Caenorhabditis elegans: one gene and its partners. The protein of the gene in region 1 purifies or fractionates together with the protein of each later gene. This does not show direct contact. Each region holds a gene or a part of one and is shown in the gene's direction. Other genes may lie near its edges.

The links.
Region 2: the proteins of R09A8.9 (region 1) and perm-4 fractionate together in Caenorhabditis elegans (co-fractionation; one large-scale study listed by BioGRID). This does not show direct contact.
Region 3: the proteins of R09A8.9 (region 1) and mtcu-1 fractionate together in Caenorhabditis elegans (co-fractionation; one large-scale study listed by BioGRID). This does not show direct contact.
Region 4: the proteins of R09A8.9 (region 1) and Y51A2D.8 fractionate together in Caenorhabditis elegans (co-fractionation; one large-scale study listed by BioGRID). This does not show direct contact.

The regions. Positions count from the first base shown.
Region 1 is NC_003284.9:12,602,326-12,605,752, forward strand, and holds R09A8.9 (GH10 domain-containing protein), read left to right. Parts: upstream 1-1,735; 5' UTR 1,736-1,738; intron 1,739-1,810; 5' UTR 1,811-2,565; intron 2,566-2,616; 5' UTR 2,617-2,635; coding exon 2,636-2,690; intron 2,691-2,745; coding exon 2,746-2,846; 3' UTR 2,847-2,906; downstream 2,907-3,427. Other genes in the region: T24D5.6 (uncharacterized protein), read left to right, coding at 1,297-1,387, 1,439-1,504, 1,551-1,735.
Region 2 is NC_003282.8:1,120,984-1,126,835, reverse strand, and holds perm-4 (PERMeable eggshell), read left to right. Parts: upstream 1-1,728; 5' UTR 1,729-1,750; coding exon 1,751-1,807; intron 1,808-1,864; coding exon 1,865-2,012; intron 2,013-3,172; coding exon 3,173-3,633; intron 3,634-4,924; coding exon 4,925-5,254; 3' UTR 5,255-5,342; downstream 5,343-5,852. Other genes in the region: perm-2 (uncharacterized protein), read right to left, coding at 1-35.
Region 3 is NC_003279.8:14,770,172-14,776,769, reverse strand, and holds mtcu-1 (TrmE-type G domain-containing protein), read left to right. Parts: upstream 1-1,762; 5' UTR 1,763-1,773; coding exon 1,774-1,840; intron 1,841-2,039; coding exon 2,040-2,307; intron 2,308-2,832; coding exon 2,833-2,964; intron 2,965-4,014; coding exon 4,015-4,297; intron 4,298-5,451; coding exon 5,452-5,858; intron 5,859-5,904; coding exon 5,905-6,067; 3' UTR 6,068-6,081; downstream 6,082-6,598. Other genes in the region: F39B2.5 (SH2 domain-containing protein), read left to right, coding at 133-179, 232-356, 405-523, 1,228-1,515.
Region 4 is NC_003283.11:18,549,495-18,555,437, reverse strand, and holds Y51A2D.8 (Cysteine proteinase), read left to right. Parts: upstream 1-1,587; 5' UTR 1,588-1,591; coding exon 1,592-1,737; intron 1,738-2,138; coding exon 2,139-2,219; intron 2,220-2,577; coding exon 2,578-2,941; intron 2,942-3,985; coding exon 3,986-4,180; intron 4,181-4,307; coding exon 4,308-4,398; intron 4,399-5,102; coding exon 5,103-5,386; 3' UTR 5,387-5,435; downstream 5,436-5,943.

The DNA.
Region 1 (3,427 bases):
TTGTTTTTTTTTTCGAAAAGTAGACGAACATTCTGGCAGAGTATCGGAAAATTTTGGTTTCTAGGAAAAATTCTGAAATTTTCTTCAATCCGGAGTTTTTTTTAATTAAAAATTTTTCGAAAAAATTATACAGGTCTCCAAAGAAGTGCAAAAATGGCCTGAGATAGTTTTAGATCGATATTTTTGAAGTAGAGCTTTGCCGCTCAAAACTTTGCAGTAACATATTCTATGGAACATTATTAAATGACACCTGTCTCTTGCTTTGAAGTCTGACGGTGAAATGAAAACCTTTCCTTGTTAATAAAAACATTTTCATCTCAACAAAATTGCATTTATTTTTGATTCTGACCTGAAATATTTACCGAAAAAAGCTATTTCTTGAATTTTCTTGATTTCTTGCCTATTTCTGGACTCTGGAAAGATTTCCTCTCCCATCTCGTCTCCATAACAATTACCTGTCTTGAATCAACTGGTTTAAGTGAGTCAGCCAATATGCTTTCCTTATTTTTTTTCAAGACATATTATCTTTTTAGCTTCAATGTATTTTTTACAGACCTCAATCAAACGACGATGCAAGAAGGATGGAAGGATGGAAAAAGGAAGGAAAACATCCAAATTTGTAAGGAATTTTTTTTTGATTTTTTAACTAAACTGCAAATTTTTACAGATGCTGAAGGCTGTGATGAGACAAGATGATGGGCAATGAATGGAAGGATCAGGACGATTGCGATTGATGGATGGGGACAAGGGACGACGACGACGAAGAATCGGATAGGTGGATGGGTCGACGACGATCGGGATGGAACGGTTGGAACAGGATTCGGCGGAAAAAAACATGTAAGAAACATTCTCCTTTTAGCTTCAAGTAAAATGTAACTTTTTACAGATCTCAGGCTAACGACGATGATGGATGGTAGGAACGATGATGGTTGGTAGGAAGGATGGATGGGAAAAAGGAACGAAACAATCCTAATTTGTTAGGCATTTTTTAAATGCTTAAACTACAAGTTTTTAAAGATGCTGTAATGAAAGCTGTGATGAACCAAACCGCCGGCCAATGGATGGAAAGGTCAGGAAGATCGAGATAGATTCGGGATGGATCGGGACGAAATGACGACGACGACGACGGATGGACAAATGTTCCTTCTTGTGAGTGTTCTGAACCGGGTTCAAAAGTAACAGGCAAAAGCTGCATTTTCGGTTTCACTGCTATCACCTGAGTTGATTTGTCAAAAAACATAAATGCTTCCAGGAACAACATGGTGGACAATGGATGGAAGGATCAGGACGATCGGGATGGATGGCTTCGGGATGAATCAGGGCGACGACGACGACGCCGACGATGGATCGGATGGGTGGATAGATCGAAGACAATCGGGATGGATTGGTAAGTGATCCTCTCTCCTTTTAGCTTCAATTAACATGTAACTTTTTGAAGATCTCAAGCAATCGATAATGATTAAAGGATGGATGGTTGGAACAATGGAAATAGAAAATCCAAAGTGTAAGGAATTCGTTTGATGCTGCATCTAAACTGAAAACGTTTACAGATGCTGAAAGCTGTGATGGAACAAATTCTGGGCAGTGGATGGGATGGGCAAGACGATCACGATGGGTGGATTCGGGATGGATCGGGACGATGGACGACGACGACAAAGGATCGGATGGATGGATGGATCGACGACGATCGGAATGGATAGTTCCGGGACAGGTCGAGATGGAGATGGACAGCTGACATGTAACCTTTTACAGATCTCTAGCAAACGAAGAAGGATGGATGGTAGGTCATTTAAACTAAGAACTTTTACAGATGTTGAAAGCTGTGATTGAACAAATTCTGGACTGGACATGGACTGGAATGGGCAGGCCGATCAGGATGAATGGATCGGGACGAGACGACGACGACGACAAACAATAAGGATGGGTGGATGGATTTGGACGATCGAAAGGGATTTGGGACAAAACGACGACGACAAAGGATGAACAAATTCGGGGCGGATCGGGAGTAAGTGAATCCATCTTGCTCCTTCTTGTGAGTGTAGCGTCCCCATTACGTTTACCTGGCTTGAACTGAACTGGTTTGCTTGAATCTGTCACTGTCCAATTTCTGAACCGGGTTCAAAGTAGCAGGCAAGGGCTGCATTTTCGGATTCACTGCTACCCCCCTGAGTTGATTTGTTTGGAAACAAACAAATCTTGTACCGTACTCAGAGGCAGTGAAACTGATTAATCTCTTAATGGGAAATGCGAACTCCTGCGAAAAAAGAACAAGGAGACTGGAAATAGCGTCAAACAGACGAGGCTTATCGGACGGTTCTTGTCACATAGGTAAACTGTAATGGGTGATGCTGCACAGTTCTAACGGTACAGAACATCACTTGAAGTTGCATGAATGGATTCGATCGATGGATGGATGGACGAGGCAACAACGACGACGAACGATTAGGATGGATGGATGGAAGGATCGATCGAGAGAGATGATGGCTTCGGGATGGATCGGAACGATGGACGACGACGACGATGGGTCGGATGGGTGAATGGATCTACGACGATCGGGATGGACTGGTAAGTGATCTTTTCTTCATTTAGCTTCAACTAGAATGCAACTTTTTACAGATCAAGCAAACAATAAAGGATGGATGGTAGGAAGGAAGGATGGATGGAAATAAGACAGGATATAATCCAAACTTGTAAGGAATTTGTTTGATGTTTTGATGACAAGTACTAAACTTCAAGTTTTTACAGATGCTGAAAACTGTTTTGCAACAATATGGTGGAGGGATCAGGACGTTCGGGATGGATGGCTTCGGGATGGATCGGGACGATGGACGACGACGACTTTCTAATTTTTTATTTTCTGTTTTGATCATTTTTTTTTTCGATTTAATAAAAGTGAACGAATTTAACGAATTTGCCGTTTGCCGAATTAGCCGGGTTGTGTTTCCGCGTTTTCGCCGGTTCAGTTTTTTTTTTCAGATTTTAAAAATTCCATAGTTTTAAAATTTTCAAGTTTTCAAATTTGAAAAAAATCCTAAAATTCCAAAATTCCGAAATTCCAAAATTCCAAAAATTCCAAAATTCCAAAAATCCGAAAAATCCGAATTACAGAAAATTCCAAAAATTCAAAAAAATTCCAAAATTCCAAAATTCCGAAAGTTTCAAAATTCCGAAATTCCAAAAAATCCGAAACCGAAAAAACCGAAAAAATCCGTTTTTGGAATTTTGGACAAAAAACTGAATCGTTTTTGGAAGTTTGGAAGGGTAAAAAAGGACGAGCATAATGTCTTATAAAGTGGCCGTCTTGGAAGCGAGGGTCGGATACGGTAAGACGATACTTTTCAGAACAACCGTGTTTCAGGTTTTAGTCTAGATTCTAGAGTTATAAACCTCGACTTCGAATCATACTTGTAGAGACGGGTCCGCACAA
Region 2 (5,852 bases), on another chromosome or scaffold:
GCCAGAGACGCGACGATCCAAGTGGTGGAAAACATGATGATGATCGGAGCCAAGATGCTTCGCCGCTTTTATACTTGAGATCCGCCAGAGATATGGAGGCGGGAACTCGGCATTGTAGTTTGAGGGGAAAACGTTAGGCGTTGGATAAAAAACAAAAAGGTTTGGAGCGCAAAAATGTTTGCTACGGAACCTGGAATTAAATCTCACAGCTGTGGTAACTGAGCCAACAAGTCAAAAGGCTCCAATACATGGTGAATCACTCGGACTTGATCAACTGGAAAAATGTTCCTTAACAGTTTTTCTACAGTGTTCTAGTTCAAAATGTGTTGATTTTCTCAAAATACACTTTGCTAAAAGATACACAAATTAGTTCTTTGAACCCCGCTGGATCTCAGACACATGTTGCAACACATCCTTAGGTCACTTTTTTTTCGACCGACTATTTTTTTCAGCTTTTCCATTTTCTTTTTTCTTCGCTGCTCAATCCATCACACATTCCGCTGGGCTCTTTTTCCTGCCGGCCGCAGCCGCCGCCCACCTGATTGCAACATGTTATATGAGAAATGGGATGATTGAGTGGGCTTGGAATTTCAGACATTTCAGATGATTTCATATGGAGCAACTCGTGATGGGTGAAAGTGCAATTGAATGAGAATGGAGAAATGTGCAAATACCTGGAATTTGGGCATGAAATAGATAATTAACGTATTATGTGAAAAATTTGTCTGACAAGGAAAGTAAGTTAATCTAGTCCCGGACTTCGAATCGAGACGTATGTCATTTGAAAGCTTATGGTTAGCCTAGATCACCGCAAAAATTTCAGATTTTTGGAAAAAAATAAAAATTTCCAAAAAGCTTCCACACTGTTTGTTTGACCCTAAAGACCCCCAAAAACAATTTTTAACCGCTCTAGCCACTTTTAAGGCCATTTACTTGACCTAGAATTCAGCAAAAAAATGCACTGGAGCACTTTCAGATGGCGCTTTCAGGGGTTCAGAGTTGAGTTCCGCCGCTGAAATTTTTTTGGTGATCTAGTCTAAACATAAGCTTTCAAAGGCATATGTCCTGATTCAAAGTCCGGGACTAGATTGACTTCCTTTCCTTGTGAATTGAAAGCTTTGGAGTGATTTATAGTGTTCCTAATGGATTTCTCTATGGATTTGCCAATAAAATTTCAACAATTTACATATCAATGAGCAAATTGCAAACACGTAAAATATGCATTACATAGTTTTACAAAGTTTTGTAATAAATTGATATTTATAAAAATACATAAGAGGGATACGAGCTGCTGAACAAAAATGCTGATTATGGTGCATTGAGAGTAGTTTTATTGTAAAATTTTGGCAGTAGGTTTTACATGCATTATTTATGCTTCAGATTCCCTTCTTTTTGGTGCATCGATGAAAAATTTACTGATCAACTTTAACAGTTCATATCTTCGTAGCCTTTGGTTTTATCAAAAAATTATCAACTGGCAAGTTATTTATTATTACTTTTTCTATAACTGTCTAGTTACAATTTTTTTGATATCTTGAAAATTAGCCGAGATATGGTGCAAATCTATCGATCATCTTTTCAATGTTTCCTCTTTTTTCCCCGTTCCATCAACTCAGACATTTCTACTTTCATCTTCCTCAAGCTTTTCCTCTTGATTTTTTTTTCTGTAGGCGGAGCCCATCCCATGTTCCCCCCGAACTATAAAAGCATGGCTCCGCCGACAAATCCATCATTCGATCGCTTTTCAGAAATGAAAACCGTTCTTCTTCTCACAGTCGCCTCGCTGGCCGCCGTCCTCGGTGCAAAGGTATATGGTTTTTTTGGATTTCCGCAATTTTAGGATAATCTGAAACATTTTCTGCAGCCAACACCCACCGAAGAGGTCAAGTCAGAGGCCGCTGCTGGTCGCTACGGCGGTCGTCCATCGTATGGAGGAGGAGGTTATGGAAATGGAGGAGGATATGGATACCCAGCATTCGGACCAGGATACTGGCAGCCACTTATTCAAGATCGTGAGTTCGTGAAAATTCAAATTTTAAGAGCTATAGTAATTTGGCAATAGAGCGCATTTGCGTAGACCTAGTTATGATTATACTTGTTTGAACCGCAATAGCCAACTTATTTCAAAAATGTAACATTTTTTGGGAATCATCAAAAAATTGACTTATTCATAGGTAGTTTTGTCAATTTTCAAATTTTCGAAAAATTTTGAAAAATTCATAAATTTCTCAGTTTTCGAGATTTTTCAATAATTTTTAAATCAAAATTAAGCTAGTTCTTCAAATTTTGTTGCAAAAATACTGTTTTTTTTTTTCAAAAAATCTGTAGAACTTAGGCCAATTTATCAGAATTAGAATTTTTGAAAATGTTTGAAAACCTGTAACTTTTCCAGTTTTTGAGATAATTGTTTGATTTTTATGTCAAATTAAAGATTAATTTTTTTTAAATTTTTTGGCAAAATTAACTGCGTTACTGTAGTATTTATTTAGATTAAATTTAATCTAGTTGGTGCAGAATTTCAAAAAAGCTACAATTTTCAAAAAATTTCATTGAGTTTAATGCCAAATTGAAGCTTAAATTTTATATTTTGAAAGAAATTGAAATTCGGTAGAAAACACACTTTTCCTAGGTTACGATAGCTTCCATTATTTTTTATACAAAATTCAAAAATTTACCCTTAAAATGACACAAAAACCATCCCAAAATCTCAAAAATTGAGAAAGTTATAGATTTTCAAAAATTTTTGAAATTTTGGACTTTTTTTTTTGGAAGAGTCAAATTTTATTGCTATTAAATTTTTTCGACAATTTTTATCGAAAACTAATTTTTCTTGAAAATTCAAAAATTTACCCTCAAAATACCACAAAAACCATCCCAATATCTCGAAAATTGAGAAAGTTATATAATAGATTTTTGAACATTTTCGAAAATTCATAACTTTTTTAGTTTTCGAGATTTTTTATTGAATTTATTGTAAAATTAGAGCCAATTTTTTAAAATTCTGTAGAACAAACTGATTTGAGTCAGGAATTTTTTTTGTCAAATTAACTAAAATGGTTTTTTTCTAAAATTTTCGAAAATCTACAACTTTTCCAGTTTTTGAGATATTTTATCAGTTTTTAAGTTAAATTGAAGCTGAAATTTTGAATTTTAAGATGAAAAATATTTACAGGCTTCGTATGCGACCTCGACGCCTCCGTGCTCCTCGTCGTCGACTCTGTCCGCCGCCATCATCGCCACCCACAGCCATACTACGGTGGAGCCCCATCCGTCCCAGCTAATCGTGCCGTTCGTGTAAAGTGCTCCGAAGTTGCTACCCATGATGAAGATTCCTGTAACTTCTGCTGCCAACAGACCGCCCGTCGTGACACTTCCCTTCCCAACGATCAACTCTTCGGATTCTTGGCTATTACCAAGGATGATGATGATGAGACATTCAAGAGATCCAAGAGAGGAGCTGATGATGATGATGATAATGATTCGGATTCTGATGAGAAGGACGGAAAACATGGACGTGGAAGATTCCATAAGGTTGACTCTACCTACTTGTCAGAGGCCAACTGGGAGCCAAAGAAATATCATAAGAATGTCAAGTGCGTGTGCTGTGCTCCAAGATCCTCTCCAGCTGCTCAGGTGGGGAATATTTTAAGGACTATTTTTTTTTGTTGGGAATTCAGTGATTTTGCTTTAATCTGGCTCAAAAATTACAAAAAAAATGTTGAAAAATGAGGAAGTTATAAATTTTCAAAAAACCGCGGAATTTCGATATTTGAAGATTTTGGCCTACGAGTCTAAAAGTCTAGTTTTGAAGACAGTAAATTTTTTGAAAATTTAAAATTAATCCTTTTTAAATAATTTCAAAATTTACTTTAAATTTGGCAAAAAAATCACTGAAAAATCTCATACACTGAAAAAGTTATAGATTTTCAAATTTCTGTCAGAATTAACAAAACTTTTAATTTTGGACCAATGACTTTCTTTTTGGTTTTTACCACAATTTAGTTTTTATATAACTAAAACAATTTCACTACAACATTTAACAATTCAGCTTTAATTTGGCCCAAAAATCTCTAGAAAATCTTGAAAACTAAGAAAGTTGAGAATGTTCAAAAAATCTCCGAATTTCGAAGTTTGAAGCCCTAAATTTAAGCCATATGACGAGTTCAAGCGTCTAGTTTTGAAGAAAATATGGTTTTTCAGCGTTCAGACTAGTTTTTTCCATAAAAATTGAAACTTCCGCTTTAATTTAACACTAAATTCACTAAAAAATCTCAAAAACTGAAAAAGTTTTGGATTTTTGAAAAATTTTAGAAAATTCCAAAGTTTGAGAATTTGGCATTAGGCCTACTTTTTTCAGCTATTTTACTGAATACATCACTCCAAACATGAATTTTTGTAAAATTTTAAAATTTATATTCAATTTGCCACAAAACTTATCCAAAAGTCTCAAAAACTAAGAATGCTATGGATTTTCGAAAAATCTCAAAATTTTGAAATTCGAAAAATAAGGAATTTGAGAGGAATTTTTCATGTTTTTGAACCTTTCTAAGACGATATTAAATTAAAAATTATTTTTTCCTAAAAAATATAAAAGTTTAGCTTCAATTTGACACAAAAATCACCAAAAACTCTCAAAAACTGAAAAAGCTACGAATTTTCCAAAAATTTTGAAATTCTCTCCAAAAATCTTCTCAAACTGAAAATTTCATCGGGATTTTATTGAATTTTGCAAAAAAAAAATCGATAATTTAGCCTATGTACCACTGAGTTTTAAAGAAAATTTCCTAAGAAATTTTTTTTTCAATTTCTGAAAACCCCTAACTTTGCCAGTTTTTGATATTTTTCAATGTTTTTTAGGTTATTTTGAAGCTCATATTTCAAAACTTTGAGGGAAAATTTATTATGCAATTCAATTTTCTTCCAGAACCCATCCTACAACAACAATGCTGCTCAATCCCCACCAACTGGCTACAACAACAACGCCAACGCCTTCGTCCAGCCACAACCAGTAGCTGCTCAGTCCCCACCAATGTCAGCCTCCCAGCCACTCGTTGACCTCTGGCAATCCGAGAATACTGCTCCATCAACATCATGGGGAGCTGCTCCAGCTGCTCCATCAACATCATGGGGAGCTGCTCCAGCTGCTCCACCAACCTGGGGAGGTGCTCCAACTGCTGCTCCAACTTGGGGAGCCGCCAATGATGCTCCACCAGCGGCCACGCCGGCTCCAGTTGCTGCTTCCAATGCTTATTAATTCGATTTTCTTACAAGTGACCTTTTTGTTTACATTTTTCAAATATAATTCGATTTTGCACAACCCAATAAATATCTTCTCCTGAAATTTTGTGCTACATAGCTATTTTGGAATAAACTACCAGTTTTTGAAGTTTCCGGCAACTTTGGAAGTTGCCAAATTTGTCATTCTTAAAATTTAGCTCTTCAAATTTAACTTTTGTAAAAGTTTTTGATAATTTTAGCAACTTAGACACTTGTTGAACTTTCAAATCATTCGCAGTCTCGCAACATACTATCAAATATTTTCCCACCTCTGGTCTAGATCATTTTGTTAAAACTCCTTTTTCTCAGAAAAAATTGACATTTTCCCACGTACTTTTCTACACTTTTTTGCTGTTTTCCAGACTTTAGAAAACCTCATGTATACATAGAAGCTTCACGAAAACCAGTGACCAGATTCCAAAAAGTTTTTGAGCCTGCTAGGGCTTCCCTGTAGGCGCCTGAACGCCTGCCGCGCCCGCCTTGCGGCGACCTCTGCCTGCCTTGCACCACGACCCGAATAGTGTCGGTCGCGGCCAAAGAACCACCTTTCGCACTTTGTGGAATAAACACCAAGC
Region 3 (6,598 bases), on another chromosome or scaffold:
AGAATCGGATCATAATCTTCTCCTCGTGGAGTACACGACTTCCGTAAATCGACAATCTTCAATTTTAAAATTCAATTAATTTTGTTAAGATTGAAACTATTTTCAGTAACAAAAGTTTCCTTCAATGCTCCTATGCCCTCCAACAAGGTGATTTGTTCTGATCTTTACGATTGTGATTGGTAAACAATAAAATAACTGAAAAAAGATTTAAATATGCCTATTTTATTCCAGGTATTGGGGAGATTTGGACTGGAAATGGGCAGAACGGCTGCTCCTTTTGTGCCCAATCGGATATTTTTTAATTCGAGACAGTCGAAGTGAAACTCATCTTTTCACTGTTTCTTATCATTTTCAAGGTATTGTTTTTCAAAAAATCAATTTTTTCCAAATAAATATAATTTCAGATAGAGTCTATCATTCGCGCTTGTCACTTGAAGATTCACGACGGAATTTGGGTAGTCGGCAGCCATACGTCTCACGTGACTATTGGAATCTTGTGGAAATTATTGAGAGAAGTTTAGAGGTATGTAGTACATTTAAAAATATCTATGATTTTTGATTTTAAAAAAATCGGAAAAGAGTAAAACTTTAAAAAAAAATTGTGACAGGCCAAAAAGGTCGAAAATATTTTTCGAAGAGTTAAAAAAAATCGAAATTTTCCCAAAATGTTTCCGGAAATCGAAAATATATTTTTTTAAAAGCAAATTATTTTTCCGAAAAACGGAAAAAAACTATTTTTTTTAAGTGAAAATAATTATTTTTCTTTTTAAAAAATTCGAAAACTAAAAAAATTCAAATTTTCCGAAAGTATGTCCTTTTTTTCTCAAAATTAGAAATTAAAAAAGAGTATTAATCAAAAAAAAATTTTTCGGAACATAATTTTAAAAATTAAAATTGAAAAACAAATCAAACACAATACAACCATTTTTTTTCATAAAATCGAGAAAAAATCCTTTTTTTTTCGAAAAACCAAAAAAAAATCACGAGAAAAATAATCGATTGTTCTAAAAAAAATTCACTTTTTTGCAGAAAAAAATTAAAAAATCACCATTTTTGTTCACAAAAAAAACCACATTCCCGAAAGAAAATAGTTCAGTTTTTTCAGAAATTAGTTTTTTTTTCAAAAATCCGAAAAAAACTGAGTTTTTCAAGCAAAAAAATAATTTAATGTTTCAAAAATCAAAAAAAATCGTAGTTTTTCGGAAAAAAACACTAAACTTTTTTCAGCAATCCCTAACAGGACAACAAGAAATGCTCCACTATCGACGTGGACATGAAGCCGAAGCAGCGCGTGTCAATTTAACACGTCCACTCACAAAACGAGAGCTTCTACCATCACTACAGTACCTCTGTCGATTTACCCTGAAAACGAGTCAACAAAAACCACCGACACCCAAAACAGCTCCTCTGCCACCAACGATTTTAAAGTATTTGAGTGATTCGAAATGGATTATTCCTGATTTGAAGAAATGTGAAGAGCAATTGAAATTAAGATTTTGTGTAATTAATAATTAATTGTTTTAGTTTTGAATTATATCGAATTACGGGGTTTTTTTTGAATGCTTAATAAATAACTTTTTTCTCTCAAATTTAAGTTATATATTCATAAAATCTCGGTTTCTTTCCAGAAAAATTGTCACGGATCCTGTTTTTTATTAAATTTTCAAACATTTTTTTAAGATCGTGAAAATTTTGAAATTAAAAAAAAGAACCTTTCGAGTAATCAAATTTTTTTTTAATTGGAAAAGAATAATTTTTTCAGGCATTTAGAAAATGTCGACAATCTTCGCCCTATCGTCTGGCACATTGCCAAGCGCAATTGCGATGTTCCGCGTTTCAGGTTAATTTTCAGAACAATTGAAAAAAAAAATTCCATTAGGTTACGAATGGTTCATTTTGAAAAAATTTCTGCCAAAATAGCCATAAACAATATAAAAATCTCTGAAAAAATTCGTACGATGCTCTTGCGAAACCCCCCCCCCCCCCAAAAAAAGGCTTTCTGAGCTTACTGTTCACAGTATTCACAGTATTTTTTCCAGGATCACAAAGCCTCCCCGTACTCCGCCAGCTGAGCCGTCGAAAAGTTTGGAAGCCGAAAACGATGAAATACACGAAATTGTACGATTCAGAGAGCAAAATCATCGATGAAGCAATGGCGGTATATCTTCCCGGCCCGAAAACGTTTACCGGAGAAGACACAGCCGAGTTTTTTCTACATGGAAGTCAGGCCGTGGCCGTGAAGTTTGCCTCATGTTTGGCTGGAATTCAAAATGTTCGAGAAGCGAAGCGAGGAGAATTCACGAGGAGGTTATTATTAGCATACGATTTTCAAAAATCGGGGTTCAAACCAGGGATGGGCAGCAATTGCCGTTCGGCAAATTTTTTTCGACAAATTCGGCGATTCCGGCAATTTGCCGATTTGCCGGAAATTTCAATTCCGACAATTTGCTGATTTGCCGATTTGCCAATTTGCCGGAAAAATTGTTTGCCGTCCACCCCTGGTTAAAACGCGCTCCACGGCTAAAAGTTGGGTCTCGCTAGGTTTTGGCTGCTGCAAAACCGTAATTTCGAACGTTTTCAATAAGTTTTCGTTATTTTTGTTATGTTTCCTGTCGTTTATTAATTAATTTTATGTTGAAAAAATGTCCAAAAGTGCTTTAATTTTTCATTTAACCATGAAAACAAAATAACATTAGAGTTTTTGGTTTTGCCGCCGAATAAAAATTCCAAACTTTCCGCAGTTGAGCGCGCTTGCACATCTGTTTCAAAATATTTTGAATGCATTTAAATGCACATTTTGGGTCTCTATAATAACTCTTAGTTAATTTACAGAGCATTTCACAACGGAAAATTGAGCATTTCCGAGGTTCGAGGAATCGATCGGCTAATTAAATCTCGAACCGAAAAAGAACGAAATGCGGCATTTGGTCAAATGCGTGGTGGAGTTCGAGCTATTGAAATAAGGTATTGAAGTGAGAAAAATTGGAATTTTATATTGTTCGCAAGCAATTTGAAAAAACAAAAAAATCCCTCGAGATTTGGAATTTTTGGAAAAAAAAACTTAAAAAAAAAAGGAAAAAAAAAGATTTATAGGGATTTTTAAAAATTTCATTAAAACTTATGATATCGTACGAGCTTTTCAATAATACATTTTTTCAAATTGCCGGAATAGAAATGTCCGGCAAATCGACAATTTGTCGGTATTGAAAACTTCCGGCGAATCAGAAAATTGCTGGAATTGAAATTTCCGGCAAATCGGCAAATTGCTGGAATTGAAATTTCCGGCAAATCGGCAAATTGCTGGAATTGAAATTTCCGGCAAATCGGCAAATTGCTGGAATTGAAATTTCCGGCAAATCGGCAAATTGCTGGAATTGAAATTTCCGGCAAATCGGCAAATTGCTGGAATTGAAATTTCCGGCAAATCGGCAAATTGCTGGAATTGAAATTTCCGGCAAATCGGCAAATTGCTGGAATTGAAATTTCCGACAAATCGGCAAATTGCTGGAATTGAAATTTCCGGCAAATCGGCAAATTGCTGGAATTGAAATTTCCGGCAAATCGGCAAATTGCTGGAATTGAAATTTCCGGCAAATCGGCAAATTGCTGGAATTGAAATTTCCGGCAAATCGGCAAATTGCTGGAATTGAAATTTCCGGCAAATCGGCAAATTGCTGGAATTGAAATTTCCGGCAAATCGGCAAATTGCTGGAATTGAAATTTCCGGCAAATCGGCAAATTGCTGGAATTGAAATTTCCGGCAAATCGGCAAATTGCTGGAATTGAAATTTCCGGCAAATCGACAAATTTCTGGAATGGAAATTTCCGGGAAATCGGCAACTTGCCGGAATTGAAATTACCGATAAATCGACAATTTGCCGGAATTGGAAATTTCCGGCAAATCGGAAAATTGCCGGAATTGAAATTTTCGGCAAACCGGCAATTTGCCAATTTGCTGAATTTGTCGACAAAAACTTCGTGCCGCATACCCCTGACATTTACTCTCAATTTCAGGAAGCAATTAATTCAAATTCTATCGAAACTATTTGTGATCATTGATTTTGGAGAACACGTGAACTTGGAATTACGCGAAGCTCAACAAGATGTCTCTGAAATTCTTCATGAACTCAATCGAATGATCAAAGCGTGGGATGGTGCAGAACGGGCTCAACGTGGATTGGATATTGTGCTCTATGGAAGACCGAATTCCGGAAAATCAAGCATTTTAAATCAGTTAGCGCATGATGACGTGGCAATTGTTAGCTCGATTCCTGGAACCACGAGAGATAGTTTGGAAGTAAAAATGATCATATAAACCTATTGAAGTGTTAAAATTTTTCAAATTTTTCAAAAATTAACCAAAAAATTTCAATCAAATTTTCTTTTGCGATTTTTTTTTCTGAAACTAAAATCAGTTTTTCCAAAACTACAGTAATCCTACAGTATTCCCTACAATACTACTACAGTACTCCAATCATATCCCCCTATTAACACCAAACTAATAACCCTTCAAAATACGAAAAACCAGTTTTTCTCCAACTACAGTAACCCTACAGTAATCCTACAGTATTCCCTACAGTACTACTACAGTACCCTAGCCACGTTCCCTTGAACAATCAATTTTGAAACTCCTCTAAAACACACAATTTTGAAATTTAAAAAGTGGCAAAAATTCCAATTTTTTGTAAAAATTCACAATTTTGAAACTCTTCTAAAATGGGCAATTTTGTAGCTAGAGGACTCAAAATTGATCTGCAAACATTAAAAAAATTTTCCTTTTTAAGAATATAATAGTTTTGAACATTTTTAGGGAAATTATTTTTTTGCCCAAAATAAAAAAAGGATAGTCATTAGATGGCTGAAAATAGTTTGGGCAAAAATAAAAAGTTGTCTAAATTTGTTGAAAACGGGTAATTTATGTATGTTGAATTCAGAAAATCTAGGTTTAACCCGTCAAAAACTTTTAAAAAGTGGCAAAAATGGCAGATTTATGGCAAAAATTCACAATTTTGAATCTTCTCTAAAATGGGCAATTTTGTAGCTAGAGGACTCAAAATTGATTTAGGATTATAAAAAAATTGACCTTTTTCAGAATATAGTAGTTTTAAACATTTTCAGAAAAATTATTTTTTTGCCCAAAATAAAAAAAAAGGACAGTCATTAGATGGCTGAAAATAATTTGGGCAAAAATAAAAAGTTGTCTAAATTTGTTGAAAACGGGTAATTTATGTATGTTGAATTCAGAAAATCTAGGTTTAACCCGTCAAAAACTATTAAAAAGTGGCAAAAATGGCCAATTTATAGCAAAAATTCACAATTTTGAATCTTCTCTAAAACGGGCAATTTTGTAGCTCAAAAGACGAAAAGTCAATTTTTCGAAAACTACGGTAATCCTACAGTACTCCTAGAGTGCCTGGAAAATGTTCCAAACATTAATTGAAAATCTTACAGACAATCATTCAAATTAACGGAGTTCGATGCCGTCTCACAGACACTGCTGGAGTTCGACAAAAAACTAATGACGTCATTGAGGCAGAAGGTATTCGACGTGCTCAAAAACGAATCCAATCAGCTGACATTATCTGCGTTGTCGTGGATCCACAATTCACGTCGGATGACGATGTTGAATCGATTTTGAATGACGTGGAAGTGATGCGAAATCGCGAAGCTCGTGTGATTATTGCAAAGAATAAGTCTGATCTGAGTCTGAAGTATCCAAAACTTCCCTCAAATTTCACTACTGTATCTACAAATGCTACCACAGATACTGGCTGCAAACAACTTCAAAACTGTTTGGGAGAAATTGTAGATGATCTGTGTCCTGAAGCAAGTTATTTACTAGATGCAGATCTGTTAAGGTTTTTTTTTGTCAAAAAATAATATTCAAAGTTGTTTTAATTTCAGAAGATGCTCATTCGAATTGGAGTCAGCTGTAACGTGTAACGACGCAGCAATCATGTGTTCACATCTGGAAGTTGCCTTGGAACAAATCGGAGAGCTCACCGAGGGAATTGTCACTGAAAGTGTTCTAGATGGAATTTTTAGCAAATTTTGTATCGGAAAATAAAAGCTTTGACCATTTTTGGCACTTTTAAATAGTTTTTTTTTGGGTTAAACCTAGATTTTCTGAATTCAGCGTGTATGAATTACCCGTTTTCACCTTTTGATTTTTGCCCAATTTTTTTTCAGCCATCTAATGACTGTCCTTTTTTTATTTTGGGCAAAAAAAAAAGTTTTCTGAAAATGTTCAAAGCCACTATATTCTGATAATGGACAATTTTTTAGTCTTTATAGATCAATTTAGAGTCATCTAACTTCAAAATTGCCCATTTTAGATGTGTTTCAAAGTTGTGAATTTTTGCCATAAATTGCCCATTTTTGCCATTTTTTAATAGTTTTTGATGGGTTATACCTAGATTTTCTGAAAATTTTTTTTCGGCCATCTAATGACTGTCCTTTTTCTTTTATTTTGGGCAAAAAAATAATTTTTCTCAAAGTGTGCAAAACCACTATATTCTGAAAAAAGGCAATTTTTTATTGTTTGGAGATAAATTTTGAGTCGCCTAGCTATAAAATTAACCATTTTAGAAGAGTTTCA
Region 4 (5,943 bases), on another chromosome or scaffold:
ATTTTTATGTTTTAATTGGCATTTTTCATAAAATAAACGTTTAATTACAATTTTTAAAGTGTTTCTGTAAAAAAAATGAGCAAATTCTGACAAATATAGCCTAAAACCATGAGAGGGACACTTATGGGACACCTATGGGACATTCGGGGACACCAGGGGACATTTTAAACAATAAAAATGTAAAATTCGTGTTCTTCATAAAATTTGCAAAATTTTAACACCCATATTGATTATACTCTGAACATTTGGACGTTTTGGCCAAAAAACGGCCCAGAACGGCCTGAAACTGGCCCGAAACTCAAAATTTATTGAAAAATAGATTTTCTTCACCTAAAACTTCAAGATAATTTTCAGCCTTTTGATTTAACTTGCATAACAATGAAATGTTGAATTTCAGGCCAATTTCAGGCCATTTCAGGCCGTTCTAGACTTGAAATATGAGCACCACGAATTTAGGTCAAGGTAAGTGTAGAAATTTTGCAGTAATAAGAAAAACCTAAAAGTGAAAACGCAGTTCCAGAAAATCTAGAAATTCAGGCCTGAAACGGCCTGAAACGGCCCGAATCGGTCCAAATCATTTCGACAAGCCCAGTTTCTTGAAATATAGCCGATGTAAATGTCAAATCCATAAAAATGATATAAAAAATATTGCCATGTACATTAAAAAAAAAATTTTTTTTGGAAAAATATTTGAACCGTTCAAAATTAAACCATTTTTCATGTTTTAATTTGCAATATAAACGCTTAACTACATCTATGCAAGTGTTTCTGTAAAAAAAGAGCAACTTCTGACAAATATAGCCTGAAAACCACGAGTGGGACACTTATGGGACACCTATGGGACATTCGGGGACACCCGGTAAAATTTTGAGAAATATGAACTCAAAATTCGTGTTCTTCATGAAATTTGCCTAGTTTTGAAACCCATATTGGCTATGTTCTACAAACTTTGAAATTTTGGGCAAAAAACGGCCCGGAGCCTGAAAATGGCCTGAAATACAAAACTTTCCTTTAAATAACTTTTATTTCACAGTTTCAAATTTTTCAAAAACGTTTGCTGAAATTATCGACATATACCCGTCAATATTTGTTTTCAAGCCTAGAACGGCCTGAACTGTCCTAAAACTGGTCTGAAATTCAATTTTCCGCAAACATAACCAATTTAGTAGTTCCTTATACAAGTTGGCAAATTACTACAAACGCACTGGCATTAAACTGAGTGTATTGATATTTGGGCTCCAAAAAGCCCGAAACGGCCTAAAACTGGTCTGAAATTCAAATTTCCTCGAATATAGCCAATATGGGGGTCAAATAAACGGAAATTTTATGAAGATTCCAAATTTTCATGTAACAAGGCTTGAAAAAAATCAAAATTTTCAATAACTTGCTCATAAATTAATTTTTCAACCCCCTGTCAACACCAAAAATCTATAAAAGAACCCCAACAAATTCGATGTCGAAATGTGCAGAATCACCCCGATCTTTCCAACTTTTTCCCCCGAAAAAGTGGAAAATTTTACGATTTCGGCCATAAAACTCGGAAGCTTAAAAGCCAACCGTAGCCCGAGGCAATCAAAATTTCGCCGCGAAAATGCAAGTTTTCGTGATTTTCCTGGTGGTTCTACCCATTTCAGGGGTAGTTTCCATCAATATTACAGAACCCGAATTTTTTGAAATTAATATCGATCGGGACCATCCGGAGAAGCTCTACAAGGCTTTTGAGGATTTTAAAAAAAAGTGAGTTTTTTTAATAACGAAAACTTGGCCCAAACTTCAAAATTTTGAAAAATCAATTAAAAATTCGGATTCCCCATAGCAAATAACCCCTACGCCTGAGTTTTCAGAATTTTAGTGCAAAATCCCGTCAAATCGGGTGCCGGGTACGCAAACACCAGGCTACAGTAACCCAAAACACCGGATTTGACGACATTTCGCACGAAATTGTTGAAAAATAGGGTGCAGGGGTAATTTTGGGTGGAGAATTCGAATTTTTACATAATTTTTCAAAAAAAAAATGGTTTTGAAGTGTTGAAATTTCGATTTTCAGAAATAATTGAACATTTCTATTAAAATTTTTCAGAAATCTTATTGTTGCCGTTTTAAGCCACTTTTGAGAAAAAAAACATAATTTTTCACAGGTACAACCGAAAATACAAGGACGAGTCGGAGAATCAGCAGAGATTCAATAATTTCGTAAAATCCTACAACAATGTCGATAAGTAAGTGAAAAAAAACATGGCCCAAACTTCAGAATTTTCAAATTTCGAGTCGAAATTCGGATTCTACGTAGCAAATAACCACTAACCCCGTTTTTCAAAAATTTAGCGCAAAATTCCGTCAAATTGGGTGTAAGGTCCACAAACACTAGGCTACAGTAACCAAAAACACCAGATTTGACGCAAAATTGCACTAAAGCGTTGAAAATTTCGGGACAGGGGTAATTTGAGGCGTAGATTTCGAATTTCATAATGAAAATGTTTTAAATTTGAGTTTAAAAATGAAATTTTTGAATAAAAAATTTCGAAAAAAAATTTCAAAAAAATTTTTTTTTTTCGGTTTTTTTTCAATTTTTTTCAGATTAAACGCAAAGTCAAAAGCAGCCGGATATGACACCCAATTTGGCATTAACAAGTTTTCTGACCTATCCACCGCCGAATTCCACGGCCGTTTGTCCAATGTAGTGCCCAGCAACAATACAGGGCTCCCAATGCTCAACTTCGACAAGAAAAAACCGGATTTTCGCGCGGCCGACATGAATAAAACACGCCATAAGCGTAGATCAACACGCTATCCAGACTATTTCGACTTGAGAAACGAGAAAATCAACGGGCGATACATTGTGGGCCCGATCAAGGATCAGGGGCAATGTGCGTGTTGCTGGGGATTCGCGGTCACCGCACTGGTGGAGACTGTGTATGCAGCACATTCTGGAAAGTTTAAGGTAAAAATAAAACAATTATTTGAAAAATTTGAATGAAAACTGTGAAAGTTCGAGGAAAATCGGTGAAAAATTGGCGTGAAAACTCGAATTTTTCGATTTTTTTTTGAAAACAGAAAACATTGCCGTTGGAGCGCATTTACACCCTCTAGCCTGAAATTTAATTCTATTTTTCTGTAAATATATCGTAGATCACATTTTTTGCTATGTTTTCCATTTTGAAAAATGGCAAAGTTACGTTAGTTTCAAGTGTTTAAAGCGAAGTTGAACGAATTTTCAGTAGGTTCTCAGCGGAGTGCGTTTACTGCTTTTACACTAAATTTTATTAGACTTTGACTATTTTAATATTAAACTTTGCAAAAATTGGTATTGTACACGTTTTTTAAATTTGGAAAATCTTGAAAATTGGCCAAATTACGGATGTTTCAAATTTTCTAGTCAAAATACACAGAGTTTTGAGGAGTTCTCATTGGAGCGCATTTACAACCCCTAAACTAACTTTTCTCTTATTTTTTTGTGCATAGTTAATGTAGATCACATGTTTCTCTACTAGTTTCTTTTGGAAAAATAAGAAAATCTTGAAAACTGGCCAAGATACGATTTTTCACAAATTTGGGTCAAAAAATGAGAAATTTTGAAATATTCTTATTGAAACGCATTGGCAAGCCCAAAACTAATTTTTTTTTTCAAATTTTCAATGTATTTAGTGTAGATCACATGTTATTTCACTAGTTTCTTTTTTAAAAATAAGAAAATCTTGAAAATTGACCTATTTACGGATGTTTCAAATTTTCTAGTCAAAATCAACAGAATTTGTAAGAATTCTCATTGGAGCGCATTTACAACCTCAAAACTGACATTTTTTCATGATTGACTACTACAAATATAGCAGATCATATAATTAGGCGCAATTTTCAGTTTGAAACTAAAAAAAATCTTAAAAATTGGCAAAGTTACGGTAGTTTCAAATTTTTCAGTTAAACTTGGCAGAATTTCAGAATTTCACTGAATTTTTGAATTTCTATGTAAATTTTTGAATATTTTCAGTCCCTATCTGACCAAGAGGTTTGTGATTGCGGTACGGAAGGAACACCGGGATGTAAGGGAGGAAGCTTGACCCTCGGAGTCCAGTACGTCAAGAAATATGGGCTTTCTGGAGATGAAGACTATCCTTACGATCAAAATCGGGCTAACCAGGGCAGAAGATGTCGTTTAAGAGAAACTGACAGAATTGTGCCGGCTGTGAGTTGGAAATTTGAAAATTTGAAAAAATTCCAAAAAAAAAAATTTTTTTTTCAAAAATTTTTTTTTCAAAATTTTTACTTTTTTTAGAATCAAATTTTTTAATTTTCTACCAAATTTTGTTCAGAGAGCCTTCAACTTTGCCGTAATCAACCCACGCCGAGCCGAAGAACAAATCATCCAGGTGCTCACCGAGTGGAAGGTCCCAGTAGCTGTCTGTAAGTCGGCGGGACCAACTGGGGGACATGGGACATCCGGGAGTTTTGAAATTATTAAATTCAAAATCTCCTAAAAATTTGCAAAGTTTTGACATCCATATTGGCTATATTTGGAGAAATTTGAAATTTGGGCCTGAAACGGCCTAAAATTGGCCTAAAATCGGCCTGAAACTCAAAATTTTCAGTCTATAGCCCATGTTAGTGTACCAAAAAAAAATTTCAATTAAAAGCCAAGTATTTTGGCTATATTTCAGTAAATTATATTTTAAGACCTGTTTCAGGCCTATTTCGGCCTGAAATCGGCTCAATACTCAAAATTCTTTTGTTTTGGTGTCACAATTTTACCATTCAATTGAAAACTTGAAAATATTTGGAACATTTCATTTCAAGGCCAATTTTACCCTAAACCGGCCTAAAACCGGCCCGAAACTCGAAATTTGCCGATCGAAATCGATGTCGGTGCCAAAATTTTGAAAATTAAATAACCAACTCAAAAGTTTTGCTGAATATGAAGTACTTTCTTTTCAGGCCTGTTTTGGCCTAGAATCGGCCTGAAATTGGCCCAAAACCCAAACTTATCGAAATATAGTCGATATGGGTGTTAAAATTTTGCAAATTTAACGTGTAATTCAAAAATCTAGCTGAAAACCTGCAGAAACTCCAAGTTTTTCGAAAAAACTCGAAATTAAAAAAAAAAATTCCAGATTTCAAAGTCGGCGATCAATTCAAAGAATATAAAGAAGGAGTGATCATTGAGGACGATTGTAGAAGAGCTACTCAATGGCATGCCGGAGCAATTGTGGGTTACGATACCGTTGAGGATAGCCGTGGAAGAAGTCACGACTACTGGATTATCAAGAACTCCTGGGGAGGCGATTGGGCTGAGTCGGGATATGTTCGAGTGGTCAGGGGTAGGGATTGGTGCTCAATTGAGGATCAACCAATGACTGGAGACATCAAAGATCATAAAGATAACTATTACTATTAATTTATTTTTCTCACTTCTTTTTGTTAAAAAAATGAAAAATAATTATTTTTTTCGAAAATTTGTTTCTTCAAATTTCACAAAAACTCTTCAATTTTAAGCTGTTTTACTTAAAAAATTGAATTCTACGCAAAAAATGTGTTGATTTAACACCCATATCGACTATATTCGAAAAACTTGAACTTCAGGCCGTTTCAGGCCATTTCAGGCCATTTCAGGCCCAAAATTTCAAAAAGTTGCTTTGTGCCTTGCTTTTACCAGCAGTTGGTGATCTTCAACGTGGAATCCGATTGAGGAGGCAATTTTGGGAAATAATCAGCTTATTGGCTGAAATTTCTAAAATTTAAACCGAAAACTTGGCCCAAATCTGGGAATTTCGAAAAATTAAGCTCAAATTCGAACTCCGCGTGGTAAATTACCCCCTACCCACAATTTTCAGAATTTTTGTGCAAAATCCCGTCAAATCTGGTGCCAAGTTCGCAAACACCACGCTACAGTAACCCAAAACACCCGATTTGACGACATTTTGCACTAGAGCTCTGAAAATCCGGGTTCAGGGG